Schizosaccharomyces pombe: one gene and its partners. The protein of the gene in region 4 binds, or shares a complex with, the protein of the main gene of each other region. Each region holds a gene or a part of one and is shown on either strand. Other genes may lie near its edges. The genes, in order: cox24, rsm19, mrps17 and SPOM_SPBC3H7.04.

Region 1 (5,786 bases), on a different chromosome or scaffold from region 4:
GTTTAATTCCAGCAGACCTGGAAATAAGAATTGTAATGAGATGTTGCTAACTTACTTGTCAAATGCCCTTGATGAAAATTATTTACATTGGAATGTGAAATTAGCAATTCTGAAAAATGCTCCTCACTTAAAAAAGATAATGTCTAACGAGGAATTCTTACTGTATAAAGATATTCTTTATCGTTGTTACGAAGACAATCCGTCACCAAAAGCAAAAGATTATGCTGAAGTCATCTTCGGCGAAAATTATTTAAGTGTTTTAAGAAATTAGCTTCATTATATTTATAGCTAGTGATAAAGCTGATCAGCCATTTGAACTTTCTAAACACTCATTTCTAATGCTAACATTGTAAAGGATTAATTAAAGAATATTTTATACAAACCTTTGACTAATGTATTCATATTTGATTTTAAACCTAGAATGTAAGCGATTGATGTTGAAAATCCAATAACGATAATAATAGCTTTTACAACAAATAAACAACAAGTGAAGAATACTAGATGCCAGTCACTTGGTTTTTTTTTTTAAGATTCTTCAACTTCACGTGCTTTTCTAGCGGCTAATTCTTCGGCCTTTTTTTGGTTTTTCAAGTATTTAGCCCTCTCTTCGCTCATTGCTGCAAACATCCAAAACTGCCACATCAAATCGCAAAATGCAAAAGTAAAAGTAAGGCTGTTGCTAGCGATATGCTCTTTTTTGAGGTAAATAAAGCCGGTAAGGATAAAGTCAAATATAGCACGAATTGGAGTAATTCCACTGAAGAACAGGAAATTGCTTTGTAACAATGAGATAGTATAAATCATTCCAAGAATCAAAAATACCAAGCCGGACAATGCAAGAGTCGATAAGTTGTCTTGTGTTACTATCAATGGTTTCTAAATTATAATGGTCAGATATCACTTCAAACATTAATCAAGAAATTAAAAAAAAAAAAAAAATACTATCTACTAAAACAATAAAGTTATAATCACATACAACTTCCATAGAAGCACCAATTAACGCGACCAGTCCACTTTCTACTACAAACTTGGGATTCCATAAAAATCCAATGCCAGCAAATGTTAGCATACAACAATAAAAAAGAACTATCGCTCGAAAAGAGAACAACATCGTGAAATCAGAAGACGACAAATGAGCAACTATTAACTTCTAGAGACTGTACTCCGTGGTTTAGAAAGAGAATGTAAAACTAATAAGTTTTTTTCGGAAAGAAAATGTAGAGAGTTTCGATGAATATTTCGTTCGTACTTTTGTTTTCTCAACGTCGCACCAATTATATGCACCTGATTTTTGCTATTTTACGGTAGTATCAAGCTCTGGGAAGTATGTACTCTCAATTAATGGTTATATTACGATAGTTGAACTTAACTTCACTATTGTTGCTAGTTGCCAGCGCTCGCTATCTGTATTTAGAATTAGAAGGTGAATTGAATTGAGAAATATAATCAATATAACAAAATTACAAGTATACGTTTGGTTTTATTTCTTCAAAGTTATTTTGGTATGAAAAAGTGAGATGCTGACAGATTTCAAGTCAAGAACTCTATATTTTTTAAAACCACTTCAACGAATTTTAGGATCTTGAAAAGTACATCATTTTTACTAATTATAGGAGGGTATTTTCAAAGGATATATTGTATGTAGCATCTAAATAATTTTTATGAAGGTCTCAAAGGGTTGACAACGGTTGTTTTTGGAAATACATTACATTGACCATAAACTGAAACGATGTATTTTACAAAAGGCAATTCAATTTTACAAACTTTCAGCTAAATATAAATTATGCCAGGATTCTCGTTCATTTGACTAGAATGTGTGCTTGTGATATTTGTTCTCGCATTGGTAAGTGCCCCGAAACCTCTTTGTAAGTGGCACCGTACCACAAATTGCATACATACAATCTATTATATCAGATATACAGTTTTATCTTGGGTGGTAGATAATAGATATATAATTTCCAATTCATATTTATATTGTTTTACCGGTTGATTGAAATTTGCCAACCAATTTAATAAAAAGCGTTTGTCAAGATGCCAATAGATACACCGTTGATACCCCATAAACCTATTTCAAGATATCGCTCTGGTAGATTGGAAGGGCTGGAAAGTGAGTCTTCTTCTGAAAGTGATTATGAAGAAGTTTCCGATTCACATGATCAAGAAAACTCGATTTCTTCATCAAGACATGTTATTACTCCAGTATTCGAGAAAGAAGGAATATCTGAAACCAAAACGTCTTCTAATTTCCAAAACATTAACCCAGTCCAAACAATTGATAACTCTGCTTCAGAATATGAGACTGACGCATCATCGGCAGAAGGGGGATCTAACTCTGCAGCATCTAGTTCTGAAGAAGAAGACTCTTCTGATTCGGAATATGAGATGGAGCTGAGAAGGCGGACACTTCTTCTTCCGCCAAAATTTACTAGTAAAGTCATCAAAAATCGGGCAAAAGCCAATGAAGAAGATACTGAGGTGCTTAAAAAAGTGACTTCACAAAAAATATTAGAAGAGACTATAAAACGGGAATTACTATTGAAAGAAACTAAAAACAATAATGAATTATTAAATGATATCGATGATACCGATGGAATTGATCCGCAAAGTGAATATGAATTATGGAAATTAAGGCATTTGCTTAGGAAAAAGAGAGACAAGGAAAAGTCACTGGAATTAGAAAGGGAAAAGATGGCAATTGAAGAAAGAAGATTAATGAATTCTGAGGAACGCGAAGCCCAAGATTTGAAGGACGCTGAAGCAAGTCGGAGAGGAAAGAAAAAGTCATCTATGCAGTTCTTACAAAAGTACTATCATAAGGGTGCATTCTATCAAAACGAAGATATTGTGAGTAAAAGAGATTATTCAGAAGCCACAGAAGGGGAAGTTCTTAATAAAGATTTATTACCCAAACCTATGCAAATTAGGGGAGATCTTTTTGCGAAGGCAGGCCAAACACGCTGGACGCATTTGGCAAATGAAGATACTACAAAAGAAGGATCTGCTTGGTATGATCCTAAAAACCCAATCTTGCAAAAAAATTTGCATCGTCTCGGTGGACTTCATTCTGACAGCCCACTCTCGAAGCGAAAACGTACCTAACATCTGTATATACATAAGGACAATTTTGTATTTCATTTAGCATTAATTTTATTTAACATCACATATATATTTAAATACAACATTCTTCTGAATTAATATCAAATGTGCACCACCCTTCCTCTTTGTAAGTGTTTAGCATAAGCATACCAATTCTTACCTTCCCGCAGTGCAAAGAGTACAACACATTTTTCGCCTTGGTCACCCATGTTACGAAGAGGTGCGCTTTCCACAATATTAAAAGGTTTAAACGGCCTTTCACTGCGTAGTCCCATACCGATTTGGCATGTTTCAGCTTCTCCCGAAGTTGGGTCGAAATATAACCTACCAACGGTTCCTACAACTTCACACGTTTCATATCGTCGTAAGTAAATTAAATACTTCTATTTCTAACTTCATTGCGTAGAAATCGCAAAAGCAAATTTCTTTGCTGGATATCGACCTTTGTCAGCTAATCAAATATGTGTGCCTAAAGTTGAGTCCAAAACACAAGTTTCGCAATCGCAGGATGAGGAAGATCAACCCCAGGAATATGTGTTATCTTTAGAGGATGGCTATTTGTATGCTCAATCATTCTCTGCATCTGGATCCGTAACTCAAACTCAACCCGCTCGTATATCTACTCAAGTATGGGAACAAATATGTGATAAGCTGATTTCTATTACACCTTTAGATTTGACCAGTGTCAAACGAAAAAGAAAATTGAAAATGAATAAACATAAGTTCAAAAAGCGCTTACGCCGACAACGAGCACTTAGGAAACGTCTAGGAAAATGAGATTATTAGAACTTATTTTTACTCGGGTTATATTTTTAGGTTGGTTGGATTGAGAGTTTAAGCTGTAAACAAGCATTTTCAAAATGGCTGCAAGCATTTATGAGTCTCTATTTTTAACTTGGATATCAGTACCTCTCTTTTCTTAAGAAACGTTTAATCATTTAATGTTTACTTCAGGCTTTTTTAACAAGGAATACATTTTCTCTCATGTATATTCTATCCTTTAATGTTCCGGTATGAGACAATTAGGTCGGTGCTTTTTTCTTGCGATAAAATCATTAAACAATCCGCGTTTATTTAACTATTTTCAAAAAGCGGAGCACTTATTTGTTTATGCCGGCTATCTCCTTCATATCAATTAGCTTCCCATGTCTAGTACTATTACAATACCTCCATCTTTGGCCCTTCCTTTTTATATTTTTAAATATTTGTCGATGGCTAGAATTAATGACATGTACACTTCATGTGAATCATAAATATGTTGTTGTATATCAAGCAATTAATAAACGCTTATTACACTGTATCTGTTTACACATAGAATAAAAGAACACATTGGTATGAAAAATAACTTTAGTAGTCGAAATTATTTCCTTAAAACAATTTTGAAAAAAAAAAAAAAAATTTCTACATTTCTTTCTTTAAAAAATGTTCTCACTGATTATAGCTAATTACAATAATGAAATGTAACGTACTGACGACTGACATAACAAATAACAACATAAGGAATATTGAAGAGCGTCCAACTGTATAATTTTTAAGGCTTTTGTTAATCTTGTCTTAACCGATCAAGTTATGCCAACATGCTTTCTAGAGAAGAGCAAAACCGGTGTTTCGTTCCTGTCCGACGAATTTTAGACAATGAAGACTTAAAATTATTTAAAGAAGGAGATGCTTATAAGTTAATTGATTCGTTTATTTGTGATCTTGACGAAGCTGTGAAAGACAAGCCTATTTCAGCTTCAATTCCGCAAAGCTCATCAATAGAGCATGTATTAAATATACTAGATCGAGTTGGAGAAATTAAACAGGAAAATCCTGCAATTGATAATATGGGGTCGAGGTTTGGCAATCCTGCATTTCAATCATTTTACGATCAGGTATACATTGAAACACCAAAGTTGCACCAAGTATTTGGAATTGAGCATAATGCGGCGATGGAGGCAGGTCGATATTTTTATGAAAGCTTTGGAAACAGAAAGCGAATAGATTATGGAAGTGGTCATGAACTTTACTTTATGTCATGGTTACTAATTTTAAAGCAACTAGGCATTTTTACTAAAAATGATTATCCAGCATTGGTCGTTCGAGTTTTTGTTAAGTATGTTGAATTGATGAGGTCTTTGCAAATTTTTTATACTCTCGAACCAGCAGGATCTCATGGTGTATGGGGATTAGATGATTTTCATTTCCTCCCTTTTTTGTTTGGTGCAGCTCAGTTGGTTAATCATAAATATTTGCGTCCCAAACATGTTAGAGATCCAGAAATTTTGGAGATGTGTCGCGCTGATTATATGTACTTAGGTTATGTTTACTTTTTAAATAAGTTGAAGCCTTCTGTTTCACTACGTTTCCATTCTCCAATGATTGACGATATTTCTGCCGTAAAGACTTGGTCTAAAGTCAACGAAGGCATGATAAAAATGTATAGAGCAGAAGTTTTGGGTAAACTTCCTATAATGCAGCACTATCTTTTTGGCCATTTAATCCCAGCTTCACCTGGGATGTCTCCTGCTCCCCAAGACGGTGATGATTCTGAGGTGACACATGTTCATTCTCATTATGCTGACTGTTGTGGCATCAAGATACCAAGTGCGATCTCTGCTGCCAAAAATAATGGAAGTAGGATTCCGTTTGATTAAAAATTCTCGAGGGAAAAAAGGCGTTTTTAACGAATCTTCACGAATTTATGCGAT
Region 2 (5,722 bases), on a different chromosome or scaffold from region 4:
CATTTCTTCATCAATCCAACTATAAGAGCACAAACCTGTCTCGTTGTCTTTAACAAAGCATTCCAATCGATTCTGGGCATAATTCCAATAAGGAACTCCGGTTTCAATTCTAATTGTTGAATAGCCAATTTCGCATCAACCACATCCAACGGGAATGCCTCAGGAGAGCTTGTGCATTTTTTATTAGAACAGTTTAAGAAGTTTGCTATTCATTAGATAAACTGACTTGTGAAGTTCGTACCTGTTAGTAGCTTCATTCTTTTGCTTTCAAGTATTTAAGAAGTTGAATAATTTATTTACAGCCGCTTTTGTATTTCAAAAGAAAATATAAAGATTTCTAATATAAATACTATCAAGTCGTCGAAAACTCTTAAATTTGCCAGTAGCTATGGTACAAAAATTTTTTAAGTAACGTCAGGTAAGCAACACTTGATATATGTATGTTAAGTCAAAGTTATTTATGCGTTAGGAAAAACGAATGTTGACAGATTTGTTAGATATAAACAAAAGATTTAATAAAGCTAATCATTTTGCAAAATTAGGAGTCAATCTTCTTTCCTTTTTTAAAATCTCAATTTTACGTAACAGTTGTAGGTTACTTTTTTAGTTAGTGTACAAAAAATTCTTTAAGTTGACGACAGAAATAATTAGGGAAGTCTCTTGGTTAAAAAGAGTCTTGCACGGATACATCCATAATTACAAAGAAAGTGATTGCTGCTTTGAACTTCTTCGCTTTTGGTCTGCTATTTATTAGTGTACTGCAACCTAAAATTTATAAGAAAATCTTTAGTCTAAAGTCCACGTAATTGAAGGTAACTCTAATACAGGTGAAACTTAATGATCAGAATCCTATTTTATTTTTCTAATGAACTATTCAGAGGCTGTGACCGCGGATCCGTCTCTATTTCCCTTTTTGCTAGAGGCTATAGTAAAGCTAGATAAAGGTTGCTCCATTACTTGTAGCATGTAACGTAAACTTGAACCCCATTTAGCTAATTTTTCGTGTAAAGCAACCCATTCGTGCTTACCAAAGACACGATAGCTGCTACGGTGAATGGATAACGTTTTAGTCAACTGAGACATGCGGCCTTCAACAAGTCCAGCACGAATAACATCAATGATCCATAATTCTACTTCATTTTCATCAATCTTCAAACTCTTGGCTACATCACCATAGGATAATGTATTATTGGGAGCCTGGGTAGCTAATGAAGCAATAGTTAAAAGTTTCATCTTACGTGCAATTGCATCTTCATCAAATTTTTGGTGTTGGCAATGAGCATGGTTTTCGGCAACCCAACTTACATAATCGTCGGTCATCCCGCCGGACAAAATACCAAGTAACTGTAAAGTACTTTGTTCAAGCTGCTGAACGGGTGGAAGGGTGACAATATCATCAAAGAAAAAGTACTTAGGGCTGTTAACAGCGCGTTGAACTAATTCGCGAACCGCCTCGTCAGCAGTTGAGTTGTCCATTTTTACGGCTTCCAAAAGGAAAGCAAATGATTGCTCATCATCGTATGATTGAATAGCTTTAGAAACAAAAATATTAAATGCCCGATGGTCCGATACACTGACACCAGCTTCTTTAAGCCAGTCAGGGAAGTATTTCAAATTAGGTGCAAGAGTGCTAAACAAGGAATAACGGGTAGTGAGAGTAACAACACTAGTAAGAATGCTTAAACGTGCGTGTTGACGTTCTTTGACGGCCGTATTAAATAAAATGCTTAAGACACTGAGTATGGCAGGAGTGAGATTGTTGTTTTGATCGGCAATCTGCTCTAAGGCTTGGCAAAATTTAGAAACATGATCTTCGAAAGCAGCAGATTCTTGGATAAGATTAATAAAGACGGCTAAAATAGGCTCGAGTTCTGTTTCGTGTTAGTAATAGCATGGAAGAGAAAATAAGCGAAAACTTGGAAAGCTGCAAACCAAACACATCAGCTCATAGTATACTTTCAGAACTAACAATATAACAAATGCCCTTTAGCACTTATTAAAATAATTCTTTAATTTCCTAGCCTAAAACTATTTTGCATTACCTTTCTCAGGTGCTTGTGCCAACAATGGCAAGCGAGTCAGAAACAGATTAAGAACTTCTTTAACATTTTCAGAAGCCAAATATTCTCGGCAAAGAGCAAGTACATTTTTATCGGTATTAGCCTCAAGATTATCCAAATACATAGCCAATTCTTCCACCTTTTGAAATTTCGTTAGTTGAAAAAAGTTTTACCAAAAATCGCCGAGTCATTAGCGACATACCTGTTCCTCTACGGAAGAGTCAACTACCAAAATAAAATCAGAGCCTTCCATCTCTGTTATTAATACGAATCTAGCAGACGAGAAATGCAAATATTCGCTGTTAGTGGTAGTTGGAGAGTAGGACTTGGCACCTCCACCTCGTTCAATGGTTAAAACGAAGTGGAAGTAACAACACCAGGTTGCTACCTCACATTTATTAACGATTGCTGCATTAGCAATTAACTAGCTTTCTAACATTTCACCTCATGTTTTGGACTAGTGTAGCCAGAGCTCGGTCAGTCTGGAAAGGTAAATGAATATAAATATACTTGTTTTGAAAATAATTTAGAACCTGTTATTCTGACATTATAGGACCCAACGTGGTCGATTTCGGTGTCAACGTTCAGCAATGTATTAAAGGAAACGTTCCTATAAAAACAGCTGTGCGATCTGCAACTATTTTACCTAGAATGGTTGGGTATGATACTCGTATTTAGCAAGTGTGGACGTTAACTAACTAAATTCTAGTGCTCAATTTATGGTTCATAATGGTAAATCATATGCCAATGTAAAAATTACAGAAGATATGATCGGGCATAAATTAGGTGAATTTGCACCTACCAGAAAAGCATTTCATTACAGACAAACTAAAAATCGGTAATTATTTTGGATTCTTGGCGAAAACTGGGCTATATGGCCTATTCAAAACACTTTTCACATGGATTCATAACTACCAAGAATTTCAAGTCTGCCTCAAAATTTCAATTCGTGACTTTAAATGGAGCTACCATATTAGTATTTTGTAGGACATTTCCTGTAAGAAAGCGAATATATAATTCGCCGAATCTTTTCATTACTTTCAGGCTTTTAATGACAGCACTTCTTCCAATGGATGTACTTGCACGTATAAATGTATGTATGAAAAAGTGATATGATGTTGCATAATTTTCTGTCAATGTTTTACAAAAGAATTTTGCATTCCCCTACTTGGATTTTTTATTTTTAAATTTGAAACGCAATGGCTTATGTGTTTAATGTTATTGGTTGTACTTATTTAGTAGTCTGTATAATGAATAATTAACAGCATCGAAAAACCGAATGAACCCGATATCCCAAAAGAAAATGAAAAATTAATAATTGAAAGGCAATACGAAAAAAAGGATCTTTGGAAGTGTCGTTATAACAATTGAATAACTCATTTCTTTTCGTTTTTCCGACCCGTCTTTTTATCAGCTTTGTTATTGCTGATTTTTCTGTCAGATTGTTTAGAAAAGACGGCTTCGCGCTCGTGCTAACGTAAATAGTTAGTAAATTGACTGAAACTTGAAATCAAAATAATTCATGGAAATACTTACAGCCACTTGAAGTTTAGATTTTATTTTATCGTCAAGCTCATAAGTAACTTGATTGAGAATATTTTGAAGGTCATCCTGTAACAGCAATTAGTTAATGAACAATGAATGTGGAAAATGAATAAATAGATGAAGGAATGCCCATCAATTAAAATCAAAAAGTAAAAAAACAAACAAACCAAATCAGATCAAAAATTAGATTACATGACTCAAAAAGCGCAGCAAGTTCACTTAAAACCTTATTTGTCGGATCTGGTGGTAAAGAGGAACGAATGCGGAAGAATAGGGTTCAGGGCCTTGAAAGTTTATAAACAAGATTTGTAGGATTTATATAGAGAGATATTTATCATCGTAACATCTACCACACTGACTTGAGATTTTTGTTGTTTAATGTTTTTGAATATTACTTGTTGAGTAAATGGAAGCATTTTCAACATCTATAATGAAAGAACATGGATGTGAGAATGAATTACCTTAGTTTCAGCAAATATTTTCCCCTTCTTCTTCCCCTTTTTCTGAATCTTAGTTTGGGGATTTTTAGAAGTGTTTAGCTTGGGAAGGTCCAAATCCTCCACGCGAATTTGCTACAAAAAGAAAAAGTTAGAAAAAAGGGTTCGATTTTACCAGTAAAAGTAAACAAAGAAACATTTAAAGAAGAGAAAAGAAACTCCCCTTTTACATGGTTCGTAAATTGTGAAGGAAGAAGGAGCATACATTTTTTGGTTTAGATTTTTTCACGACCATTTTCTAAATATAAAAAGTCGTAAAATGATTTAGCAAGGCACAAAAGGATAGAAGAAATGCAAACGTTAAAGATCCAAAAACGAAATTAGAATGAAACGACGAGTAAGAAACGAAAGCAATCAGCTAGAGACGAATTGAATTTTTTTTTGTACGGGCAGTGAGTGTTTGCAACTAAACTACCAGTGCGCTTTACGGGACTTTCGGTGAGATACGGAGTTTTGCCGGAGACAATTTTTAAGGAGATGGTCTCGGAGTTGTGCCGGTGGTCTATAGAGGAATCGGAGTATTGTCGGTGAAAATCGGAATGCTGTCGGTGAGGTTGTCGGAGATTTATTGAATGTGTAGGAGGAGGCTTCAAACCCATATACATACATACATAAGATAATAGAGATGCATAAGGATGGAGATGAAGGGAAGGAGGCACGGCTTACACAGTGAAAAAATGGAGAAGCTAGAGTGGAATGGGAAAGGGAAGCGTAAGCGTAAGCGTCATACAATGACAAACTGCAATTCCAGCTTGATACAAGAGTTGCATGGATCGATGTGTTTTCATCCACTCTAGCATCCCCATAGTATGATGCGTTTCGATTTTCATTTTCATTTGCCTAGCCCTATAATTCCTCATTTCCTCCTAATTTCATGTATGAAATTGTTCAAAATTTTATTCCGTTTTTTTTTTTACTATTTTATCCAATTTTTATTTCAGTCTTTTCTTCATAATTTCATCGCTCAAGTTTTCATCACTTACCACCCCTTTCCACCTTTTCCTTCCTATTAGCCTAGCTAGCTTAGTGCCCTTCACTCTAAAGCTTGCTTCTCCTTACTTGGGCTTTTGTGTGGTGTAGCGTGGATTGCTTGCTTAAATGCAAAATACCCATCGCATCGCCGATAAGCCGCGAGCCCGCACGTGAACAAGACTAATTCCATAAAACGTGTTATGCTGCATTTGCATGCCACGTTACACTATGCAAACAACGTGGCTTTTCTTTGTTGTGTTGTGCTGTACTGTACTAGACTCTACTGCACTAGACTAGACTGTACCGTACTCTACTATATTTTACAATATACTATACTATGCTATACCAACCAAACACTGGGCGCGGCTTTTTTCACTATGGATAAGATTGGTGTCACCCAAAGACCACCTCCTCTCATTTATTTGTTCGCCCGCTTGCTTTCGTTTCATTGAGGGTTATCTGAAGATCGAGGCCCGGGGTAACGTATCATACAGGCAATAGGCGTTAAGTCAAAAGGTGGGGAAGATTGGAGAGACTTTACTGTTGGAGAACAAGTAACATTTTTCAAAGTCCCACAGTCAAGCATTATCCAAACATAGAGTAGGAAAGTTTGCGTACGAGTCATGCGATCGTCTGAGATTTAGGTAG
Region 3 (4,956 bases), 710 kb from region 4:
TTGATCCCAATAAATACATACTTGCTGATTTCTGCAATCCCTTTTTCAATCCTAGCACCTTGAGCATCTCTATTCCTTATACAAAAATGAGTTTCTCAATAAAAAATTACTATAATGGTCAACCTTTACGATATTTTTGCAAAACTAGAGATGGGAATGTCATCTTTGCTGTTGAATTTGATCTGTAATTTTGATTAATACCTCAAGCCAACAGCAGTGGATAGATGGCAAGTGATGTTTGCTAGGCGAACGGTATTATCTTTTTTTTTTTTGAAAAACTTTTGCTTTAATCGAAAAGATAATATGTTGGTCACAACTACTTTTCACAATACTTTTAGCCCTAATGTCTGCTCGTTTGCTATAATGAAAAAGACACCATTTTGATCGTTTACATCTCGATATATTTATTTGTTGTTAGATTCTCTCTTTTGAAGGATTATTGTTGTTCATATACTTAACTACTTGGCTAGTTAAAAAATAAATAATAAATAGCATTCCTAAAAAGTCGTTATGTTTACGACTCATTTACTTGACTGTATTCCCATCTTAGAATTGAAATTTATAAGTCGTCTTTTGTTGTATATAATTTAACTTAATACATGGAGTATTGAGAAATTCAAAGAGTTTTGTCATTTGCTTTTTTTGGCTATGGTTGACCATCCTCCCGTATCTAACCAGACACCAAGGTGCAAATGTGTTCTGTTGAGAAAATTGTGAGGTTGAGGCATAACTTGTTGTGTCACGTTCGAATTCATTTTAAAACAAAAGAAGACCTTGATATTCGGGCTTTCCTTTTTTCCCTACAGCGTGAATTGCATGCAGTTGCATTTCTCAACCAAGGATCCATCCGCACGCTCTACGAGAAAAGAGTAGTGGATATTACGAGTGAATCGGTCCAAAGCCATGCAATCATCGAAACTGCTAGAAATTTTGCACTACCAAATACTGCTGAAGAGGAGGAAAACATGGATCGAAAGCCAGAATTGCAGTTGAGTTTTAAAGGATCAATGACTAGTAAAATAATACATATTTATGTACAACCATTCGATTCATGAAAGAATGTATTTTGCGCCTTTTTACGTCTGCATGACTAAAATACACTCTATTTACAGCCTAATCTCATAAAAAACAAGTATTAAAAATTTGAGAAGTGAAAAAGCTGCTCAATTTAACTCGTATTCGTATTTTGGCGGATCACGTTCTTCTATACTTTTAACTACATCTTCTTATGACACGGATTACAAAGGCTTAAAAAATATAAGAGTTATTTCGATCCCAATTTTCAATTTTCAAACCAAAAACTTGAATTTTTATTATCCCCCAAAATACAAAAAAGATAAAACCAATTGCTCCCAGCAATAATGCTCATTTAATGATACCAAAAGATATAAGAATAGTACATCCTCTTTAACGACGTCTTTTCTGGACAACGGTGAATCCATCATCATCAACAATGGGTCCCTGCTGCTTTTCCTGCTGATTTTGAGCAGCTCCTCCATCCTCAGCATCAACAATCGTTTCGTCTTCTACCAATACCGGAGGATTTGACTCTTCTCTAGTTTTTTCCTTTCCTTCCTCCTTTTCAAGCAATTGTTTTCCGAGACGCTCATGGATTTCACGAATAGGTTCATAATTATCTTCGCAAGCAGCTTTCCACACATTAACCAAATCTTGAGCCAACTAAATAGACTGTTAATAGACGTATCACTTGATAATTATTTTAAATGCTAATAGAAGTAAAAAATTTTTAATATAGACAACAGAACGCAATATGTGTATAAACTCGAGCTTTTGACTAATATTCCAATATTTCGTCCTCAAACTTAAATCATTTTTTCGGTGCCAATATATATATACGAATCTTCAGTCTCAAGCAAGCTTGTTACGTTCTTTCTTGTTTGAAAAAAATCTTTACCTAATTTAGTATTGGTGAATACTTACGATATAGGGTGAGTCGTCTTCTATTGAACCAACATTGAATTCATCCTGCAGGACTTGAAGAATCAATTCTTCAACGTCCCATGCTTCCACATCGCTCGTAACTGTAATATAATCAACTAAAACTCCTGCCATCCAGTCTCGTTTATCGGCGGTATCGACATCGGCCCATTCTTCTTCAACAGCCTGTTTCATAACAGGCCATGAACATAAAAGAACACCGACAGCATATTCAAAATATGTCAGTCTCTTAGATGGGTCGTCAAACATGGCGAAAACACAGTGTCAATAACCCTCGTTCTTCTTCTCTACAAAGTCACCCTACCATAAAGTACTTTAAAATAAAATACACATACTTTTCCGATCCTCGTTATGTTGTTTATCACATTTATATATTATCATTAATTGACTTAAGGAAAGCTTATTTATGTTAAATAATTATAAGGGAAAAGACGCCGCTTCATTGCACATTTGTAAATAGGGCAATGTCAAAACTCTCTACTGCTAAAACGGTGCGCATTGATAACTTAGTTATTGTGGGTATTTAAAGGATTAGACTTACTTACTTTTCTTGTTTAATCCTAAAATTACTCTGAAGAATGAAGCTAAATTATGTGGGAATCGTGATTTCTCGTGCAATGCCAAAAACAGCGAAAGTGCGGGTTGCAAAAGAAAAGTTCCATCCAGTGGTGAAAAAGTATGTCACCCAATATCAAAACTATATGGTTCAAGATGATTTAAATTGTAATGTTGGAGATGCAGTTACAATACAGCCATGTAGGCCTCGGTCAGCGACTAAACGCTTTGAAATCATAAAAATCTTAAGCACAGCCAACCGTATGAGCCCAGCATCGGAGATTTCGAAAGAGTAAATAAAAAATCCCCATTAATTTTTGATGATTCCTAATGATTTCGATTGATCCATTGTGATAAGTCTTTCGCGGTGGTCATGAATATTGTAAATCGGTGATTGACCGCTCTTTCTTAACTTGCCAATTACCTGTATACACCGATATCGATTTTAACTGGAAATTTTTACATTCACAATGGCTACGTAATGTTGCAAATTGTAGATTGTGCATCAGAAGAGTCTCAAATCACATTCATTTCTAAAAGAAAACTACTCTTGTAGTACCATGTTTCCTGCTCCCAGCATTCAATGCCTTTAAATTTGTTTACAACTATGTCAATAATACTTCTGTAACATCTTTTTTTGTAAAAAGGGCAAGTGATTGAACAAGATGCATATAGACAGTAATATATTCAAAATAAAGCTTACAAAACATAATAAGTTGGGATTAAGTCTTAAGCAAATTTAAAACATCGTATACATTAACCCATAGCTGTATATCTTAACAAACTGGGGAATCATGAAAATACGTTGCAAACGATTGAATGAAAAACATACTTGTTCAACTAAGACGGTGCTCATAAGAAAGCGACAATGTATAAAGGATCATGACTAAAGCTTTAGCATGTCAGTAGGTCCTTTCGAAGAGCAAAACAGTCAGTAGCATATTTTATTAACAAAAAAATGAGCAAAGGATTCAACTTAATTAATACAAAGCTTTCAATCCCATCTCTACAGCAGCTGATCCCCAATCATTTCCATGGTTATGGCCACCATTCAAACCTGCACGATAAAGAGCTTGCTCTTCATTTAAAACTGTTAATAGACCTAGAATGACGGGAACACCTGAATCAAGGCCAACGCGCATAAGACCATGAACAACAGCTTCTGAAATATATTCAAAATGCATGGTGGAACCTTTGATTAAAACGCCAATGCCAATAACAGCATCATATGTATTGCGGGCGATGGAAGCACGAATACCTTGAGGAAGTTCCCAACTTCCCGGAACACTTTCAATGTCAATATTCTCCAACTTCACATCATGTTTTTCTATCATGGTCTCAACGGCACCCTTAACAAGAGGCTCAATGGCTTGAAGATTCCAGCGGGCATGGACAATAAGAATGCGCAATTCTGGTCCCTATAAAAAAAATTGATTAGAACTTTTGAATTAACTATTTTCACGAAAAAACTGCGTGAGAAAGAGGAGAAATTTAAAAAAAAAAAGACCAAGCGCTTTTGTAAATAGAACACTTAAGCAATAATTATATCGTGTAGAAAATAAAATAAAATTCGGTATTCAGAAGAAAAGGTTCAACTAAAAAAAAAAAACATATCGAACTTCTTTTCATGGATATAAGTGAAAACAAGCAGCGCTAAATAGGAAACGCAAAGAAAACACCGCAAGTTCATATTTTTGATTCATACCTTTAAGTCTGAAGGGTTAGGGCCTTTAATACCACTGAACATGATTATTTACTTGATTAAATAGTTGTGAAGACTATACAGAAAAATGCAGCAAGTTTGGTGTGCGTGTGCTTTATAAGCTGCAGCAAGAACTGATTTACAGAATCAACAGATCTAATACTTAAGGTTCTAGAAATGTTGATTTCTAATTAATTTTTTAATTTTAGTCATGAAATTACTATCTGATGAGGCAGGTATAATACTGGAACATAGATTACTAATAGTCACCCCATTAACGTCGTTTATTAATATGTCGAGGCTGTCGTAGATGCAAATGTCTCATTTTTACTAAACAGTTTGTTCATTTGAACAAAAAGAAAGGAAAAAATAATGAATAGTATCAATAAGCAAAACGATGAATACACACATTTCCAATTTTTTTTGAAGTTCGGATTCAAAAACCGTTACAATTTAATAAATGTCGAGTACATTGATTTATACAGTAATCAAATATTCATTAATTCTTATTCAGATCATAAAGAGAATTTCATCCGAGAACGAATGGCACACTATGGGTTTCATCACACAATATCATAATAGAAACAGAAACAATAAGTATTAAACCAGCGAATGTAAGAAGATTCAGAAATAAATCTTTTTAATTACTAACCAAGCGCCTCCGTTCTAACCAGCGAGCCCATGCTAAATCCAAGGGTTAGTATACAATAAATGTACAGAAGTTTAAGGATGTAGAAAAG
Region 4 (5,509 bases):
TCCCAAACCATTTCGACCGCCCGAAAACAATCAATACCAATTAATACTTACGACATCATTGAGAAGAAATGTTATAAATAGACCTTAGCTAAACTGAAGGAACATATACTCTCAATTGCAAAAATGGTTACTAAAACCGATGTATTACGGTTAGTTGTATTACAAAAATTTATTTAAAATGTATGTTAGTATGTCATCAATTATTCATGCTTCTTGTCCTTGATTATTGTTATATATCTTTTGAGCGCACATCAAATAAATTAAACGGATTGGTAATTACAAAACAGACATGCTGAGTTTGTGTAAAAATCATCGCTAATTCTAGGTGGTATATTTAATCTATCCTATAGAAGAAATTACCTTTACTCGTTAGTAATGTCTCGTACCATTGACACAGTCTAATACATTAGCAATTAAAAAAGACTGTGGCATGGCCTGTAAAAAATACGCATCTAGCTCTTATTTTGGATAAAAATAAATAAATATGTGACTTACTGAAAAAATTGTACCAGGGTCAGATGAAACGTTGAAAATTATTCGCTTATAGCCCTGATCACTAATGGCATGTAATCCAAAACTAGTGGATAGTGAAACAATCTTCTATTTTAACTATAACCAGATAATATTAAATTTAAAAAAAGTATCCGTAATCCATAAATCACTTGTTACTGTTGTGTAGAGCCTGAAATTGCAACAAGACCGGGCTTGGCAGCATGTATGCATACTTGGGTTATTCCGTCTAAGTTTCAGCAGTTCTTCCTTAATATAGTAGTAATCTTTTTGTCTCAAATCCCATATTTCTTCTAGCTCAGCCCCAATGGTAGGTATTCTTCAAAAACATTTGTATGCAGCTAGTTATTCCCTATTTCGCTTGTAAGCATATGAAACAATCCCAGTAGCCTCGGCTAAAAATAACCTTAAACTTTTTTTTATTGCCAAAGCAGCTTTTTGAACGATGAAAGAAATGAAGCTTCGAAAAAAATGCAGTGCACTTACAATTTTAGTTAACTAAAACTAAAAATAAATGGTAGATGTTTCCAATCCATGAACGGTGTTATGAACCTGTATCAATTCCTAATTAATCGTTAGCGTATGGTTTCATAAACGATTAATCACGAATGTTTAGATCAAATTTGAGTAAGCTTTTGAACAATTAGGCTGCAATCTAAACGGTTACATAAAAAATTTGAGGGTCTCTTGAATTACTGAGACAAAAAAAAAAATCGGGCTGTTGTGGGAATCGAACCCACGACCACCATCACCCTAAGATGGTATCATACCACTAGACCAAACGGCCACAATTGTCATTTATAAACGTTTAACATATTTACAGTTCTTTCACATAAAAGTTGTGATCATTCGAATATTAAAGTTATTTTTCTTCTTCTCAAGTCAATGAATCTTCTTATAAAAGACGAAGTAAATTTGATTGAAAATGAGTCATACAGCTTACTTTTAAATTGAATCATGGTCATATTGGGAATAAAGGCTTTTATAATCCACCGTTTAAACCCGTTGAACGCTTTAAGATTACTTTCACAATTTTTTTTGGGAAACTTGTTAACAAATTCATTGTAATACTAGTTAAGTTTCAACGAAGTTTTAGATTTCTGTTAATTCAACTTCAAAAATTTATATAGTGGTATAATGGTATATATCGCAACAAGGAATGCAGAACTTTCATACCGATATTTTACTTGCGCCAGTAGGGCTGCTTACCTCTCTCTGAGCGGTCTGAGTGGAACGCCTTTACCAATATTGAAGTTGAAATATTTCAAACATTCAAAAACGTAGCATCTACACTATTTGATTTTCATATTTTGTTAATACTTAATGAATTAATTATACAGTTTGGTCGTCTTTGCCAATTTCTTAGGATTACAAAATTTAAACCCGCATACTTGATTTCCATTGCAGTTTTTTATACCCATTCCCTAACTATTACCTCAATTTAACAAATGAGTTTTCAACAGCGCTTCGCCAGAGCGTTGGACGTGGGCTACAAGAATTTTTTGTCAAAAGATGCGGTCAGGAATATCTTTGCTTATGACAACCACTTACGAGGCCTAGTACAAAAAGAATGTAAAATTCATCAAACTCCGTATCGTGTGCCTTCAGATTTAATGGTTCAAAGCGCTAGTGACCCAGCCCGCGCTAATTTATTCAATTACTCTAGCCAATTGGTAAATCATGATTTTTTCTTTTCCGGCCTTATTTCTCCAGAACGGCCCTCTGCAGATGCAGATTTAGGAGCTATCAACCTAAAGCCTGGAATTGATGCATCCTTCGGTTCATTTGGTGAGTTGAAGTCTCAAATGGTTGACGTTGGCAATTCAGTTTTTGGTGATGGTTGGCTGTGGTTGGTATATAGTCCAGAAAAATCTTTATTTTCCTTATTATGCACGTACAATGCGTCAAATGCCTTTCTTTGGGGAACAGGATTTCCTAAGTTTCGTACCAATGCAATTGTACCGCTTTTATGCGTTAACCTTTGGCAATATGCGTATCTTGACGACTATGGTTTAAATGGTAAAAAAATGTACATTACAAAATGGTGGGATATGATCAATTGGACGGTCGTCAACAATAGATTCCAAGCTACGCGCATTGAATCCCTTTAGCTAACCCGACTGAATCCTGCACAATTTTCAATCTTTTTCTACTTCTCTCCCCTCCTCTCCCGGCTACGTTTTGTATGCAAGTGATCATGGTGGCTTACTATGGGTTCACTTTATCTGATTGAAAAAACCCATACTATTAACAAATCTTATAAATAAATAAAGTTTTGTAATTACTGTTGGCAAAGAATGAGAATTAGAATGCTAAATGTAATGTTTCCCTCTATATATTATTTAACATTCCAACAATATCTACGGAAAAGTTAATTTAGTTGAACCATCCATTAAATGTATAAACTAGGACACATAGCAATTATCTGATACTTTAGAGGTTTCGGAAGGTCAAACATAGACATTAAACAGTAAATTAAATTTGCGAGCATGTTTTCCACTTAAATTTTAATAATACGACTCCCATACCATATGTTCCATTAATAAGCATTTCGATTATTAGGACCCAATAATGATATTTGCGCAAGAGGGGAATCCTTTTTTCAAGATTAATAAGGAAAGGTTGAATTAAAAGCTGAAAAAAGAAAGCAGGTGAACAGCGTCCAGAAATTGACCAATAGGCAAAGTCATGGAATAATGCTGAAAGGAAAAAACATGAACAACTTGCCAGAAACTTACTTCCAGTGAGGGCAATAGTTGGATCCCAAGCAATCACTCTGAAATAGGGCTTGGTACAAACATGCCAATCTCTGGACCAAAAATCATTAACCGAGGTGGTTTTAGATACATTTCCCATCATTAATGGATACTCTGCAATATCCCAAATTCCCAGAGGAACAAAAATAATGGCGAATAAATAGTACAAGGCATTAATAAACAAATATGAAAAGAATCCAGAGGTTACGCAAAATGCGACTTGAATATACCATGGGTTGGCTGATATAGGAAGCAACATCCAATTGGATAAACGAGTTTTAAAACAATTGACAAAACAAAATGCACCCACATAGACAGCAGTACGTATCCCCAAAGATTTGTAAGTCAGCACTTTTCTACAGTAAGGGGGAACCACGTCGTCAGTCCAACCATACTTGCGCAAAGAAAGTGCATAATCAACAAAGTTCCACCTAGCGTTACGAATGAATGGTCGACGACGCTTAACAGCGCTGATTTGTACAGGATCGTTGCGAGAAGGTACCATATCTCGCCAACTCAAAAAGCAAGTTCGAAGCGACATCATAATGAGAAAGCCATATGCCAAACCAAATGTAGAGACATCCTTATAACCAACATGGTGATAGACAGCACACATGCGATACGCCAGTATAACCGTGATGGAACATAACAAAGTGCAGGCGATTTTCCACCGGCGAAAAAAACAAAAGGTTTCGACAAGGTATGTAGCTAAAGGGAATAGATTGAACAGAAGGATGTTATAAATACCTGTGACTGGAAGTTTGGAAGAAGGATCGAAAGAAAATGGATACATGAAAGTAATTGAATTTTAGATCGTGTTCGTAGATGATCAAACGCCGAAAACTTTATAGTGGAGGAATAGGAAAGGAAGAAAAGCAAAAAAGTAAGAAAGAAAATTCGCAGTTAAAACAAAAGTGAAGAAAAAGAACAGATAGGGTAAGACAATACAAGCAACACTAGACGAGACAAGACAAGACAAGGCGAAACAATAAGAAAAGGCAAACCACACTCTATATAACTATGAGACTTTATTTACAATCAATCAGTCAACCGACAAAAATATGAAAAAAAGACAATAATGATAAAAGAAAATGACAAAATGCTTATTGAAAGAAACAAAGAACAACGATGATGATGATGATGATGATGAAGGCAAAGAAAAAAAAGTGTTATAATATAGTTGTTAACAAAAATAAATCAGACACTGTGGAATTACAAATAAATCAGTAATACTTGCTAATTGCATGAAAAGGAAAATAGCATCCCGTAATCTTCAATTGCCCTTCAATCAATCCACGATTTTTTAAATCTGGAAATTTTCGCACAACAGATTTCAGGTACAAGGTAGTCAACCCAACAAGAAAAAATCGTCTCTTAAGATCGATTTCTGCCTGAAAATACCGGTTTTCTCGACACCTGGATCTGTAAACAAAACCCCCAAGTTAGGGTCGCCAGAAAAAAATGGGGTGGTTAGGAATATTACAAACCACCAACGCAAACGACAAATAGAGAGCAAGAGCCCAACAAATTTTGACCACCGAGGATTTAATATGAAAATCGGTAACCTTCCTTACAGTCCAAATCAATTAAAAAAAATAATAATGTTTGGTAAAAACTCGTCGTAGTAGCACAGTAACTTAATTCACAGGGGTCAGGAATATAAATTGGTCAATGTGTGTACTTTATGTAATTGCGATACAGGAAGAAGGAAAAAAAATTTTCTCACTTATTTAATCACCGTTGTGTTTTCCTTGTGCTGCTTTTTTTTATAATTGGCTTACCTAGAGGAATTAGTAAAAATAGAGATAAATTCGGAAGTCCGAGGTGGCCGAGATATTTATTTATTTCACTTACTTAGCGGACAAAATAAAATCCTTCTCTAGTGCGCACGCGGAAATTAGCTTACCAAGCAAAGTTGATCACTATTTCACCTAGCCGTCCCTTTCCAAAGTCCGAGTCGCAGGGGCAGCTAAAAAGCGCAACGCTGGAACTCTGGATGGTCGGATGATAGAAAAAGTTGTAATTGGAGGCACATTGACTTCGGGTAAAACAGATTCCGAAATGGCGAGAGCAGCACTTTGCCATCCGCCGGCTGCAACTGAATAGCAAGTTCCTGAAAAGTGAATTTGATGTGGAATGGAAACGATGTTGCGTGCGGTGCGTGGATCAGAAACAATGCTGGGATCAGATGTCTGTTCTTGCAAATGAAGAGAACCCAAACCTAAACACCCACAATAACGTAA

The links.
Region 1: SPOM_SPBC3H7.04 (region 4) and cox24 share a complex: the UniProt entries of both Schizosaccharomyces pombe proteins name them as parts of the mitochondrial small ribosomal subunit.
Region 2: SPOM_SPBC3H7.04 (region 4) and rsm19 share a complex: the UniProt entries of both Schizosaccharomyces pombe proteins name them as parts of the mitochondrial small ribosomal subunit.
Region 3: SPOM_SPBC3H7.04 (region 4) and mrps17 share a complex: the UniProt entries of both Schizosaccharomyces pombe proteins name them as parts of the mitochondrial small ribosomal subunit.

What each region holds. Positions count from the first base shown.
Region 1 is NC_003424.3:4,759,776-4,765,561, forward strand, and holds cox24 (mitochondrial 37S ribosomal protein mS38 ), read left to right. Parts: upstream 1-3,267; 5' UTR 3,268-3,303; coding exon 3,304-3,460; exon of another isoform or gene 3,461-3,502; coding exon 3,503-3,873; 3' UTR 3,874-4,447; downstream 4,448-5,786. Other genes in the region: proteasome assembly chaperone Ecm29, read left to right, coding at 1-271; SPOM_SPAC1782.02C (uncharacterized protein), read right to left, coding at 526-876, 977-1,111; splicing-associated factor Saf3, read left to right, coding at 2,032-3,099; ypa2 (serine/threonine-protein phosphatase 2A activator 2), read left to right, coding at 4,674-5,732. UniProt on the Schizosaccharomyces pombe protein: Component of the mitochondrial ribosome (mitoribosome), a dedicated translation machinery responsible for the synthesis of mitochondrial genome-encoded proteins, including at least some of the essential transmembrane subunits of the mitochondrial respiratory chain.
Region 2 is NC_003424.3:382,935-388,656, reverse strand, and holds rsm19 (mitochondrial 37S ribosomal protein uS19m), read left to right. Parts: upstream 1-2,486; 5' UTR 2,487-2,507; coding exon 2,508-2,550; exon of another isoform or gene 2,551-2,613; coding exon 2,614-2,719; exon of another isoform or gene 2,720-2,769; coding exon 2,770-2,902; 3' UTR 2,903-3,436; coding exon of another isoform or gene 3,437-3,532; 3' UTR 3,533-3,596; coding exon of another isoform or gene 3,597-3,671; 3' UTR 3,672-3,771; downstream 3,772-5,722. Other genes in the region: methyltransferase complex regulatory subunit Trm112, read right to left, coding at 36-205, 242-257; tif313 (translation initiation factor eIF3m), read right to left, coding at 871-1,871, 2,043-2,199, 2,263-2,313; pre-ribosomal protein Loc1, read right to left, coding at 3,437-3,532, 3,597-3,671, 4,067-4,177, 4,308-4,337. UniProt on the Schizosaccharomyces pombe protein: Component of the mitochondrial ribosome (mitoribosome), a dedicated translation machinery responsible for the synthesis of mitochondrial genome-encoded proteins, including at least some of the essential transmembrane subunits of the mitochondrial respiratory chain.
Region 3 is NC_003423.3:1,164,786-1,169,741, reverse strand, and holds mrps17 (mitochondrial 37S ribosomal protein uS17m), read left to right. Parts: upstream 1-2,444; 5' UTR 2,445-2,537; coding exon 2,538-2,810; 3' UTR 2,811-3,222; downstream 3,223-4,956. Other genes in the region: protein duc2, read left to right, coding at 1-188; DNA recombination protein Saw1, read left to right, coding at 693-1,055; rRNA processing protein Tsr2, read right to left, coding at 1,408-1,680, 1,942-2,208; rib4 (6,7-dimethyl-8-ribityllumazine synthase), read right to left, coding at 3,495-3,932, 4,220-4,261; protein mim2, read right to left, coding at 4,857-4,900. UniProt on the Schizosaccharomyces pombe protein: Component of the mitochondrial ribosome (mitoribosome), a dedicated translation machinery responsible for the synthesis of mitochondrial genome-encoded proteins, including at least some of the essential transmembrane subunits of the mitochondrial respiratory chain.
Region 4 is NC_003423.3:1,873,009-1,878,517, reverse strand, and holds SPOM_SPBC3H7.04 (mitochondrial 37S ribosomal protein mS42), read left to right. Parts: upstream 1-1,736; 5' UTR 1,737-1,958; coding exon 1,959-2,621; 3' UTR 2,622-2,864; downstream 2,865-5,509. Other genes in the region: SPOM_SPBC3H7.05C (uncharacterized protein), read right to left, coding at 2,986-4,059; F-box protein Pof9, read right to left, coding at 5,198-5,509. UniProt on the Schizosaccharomyces pombe protein: Component of the mitochondrial ribosome (mitoribosome), a dedicated translation machinery responsible for the synthesis of mitochondrial genome-encoded proteins, including at least some of the essential transmembrane subunits of the mitochondrial respiratory chain.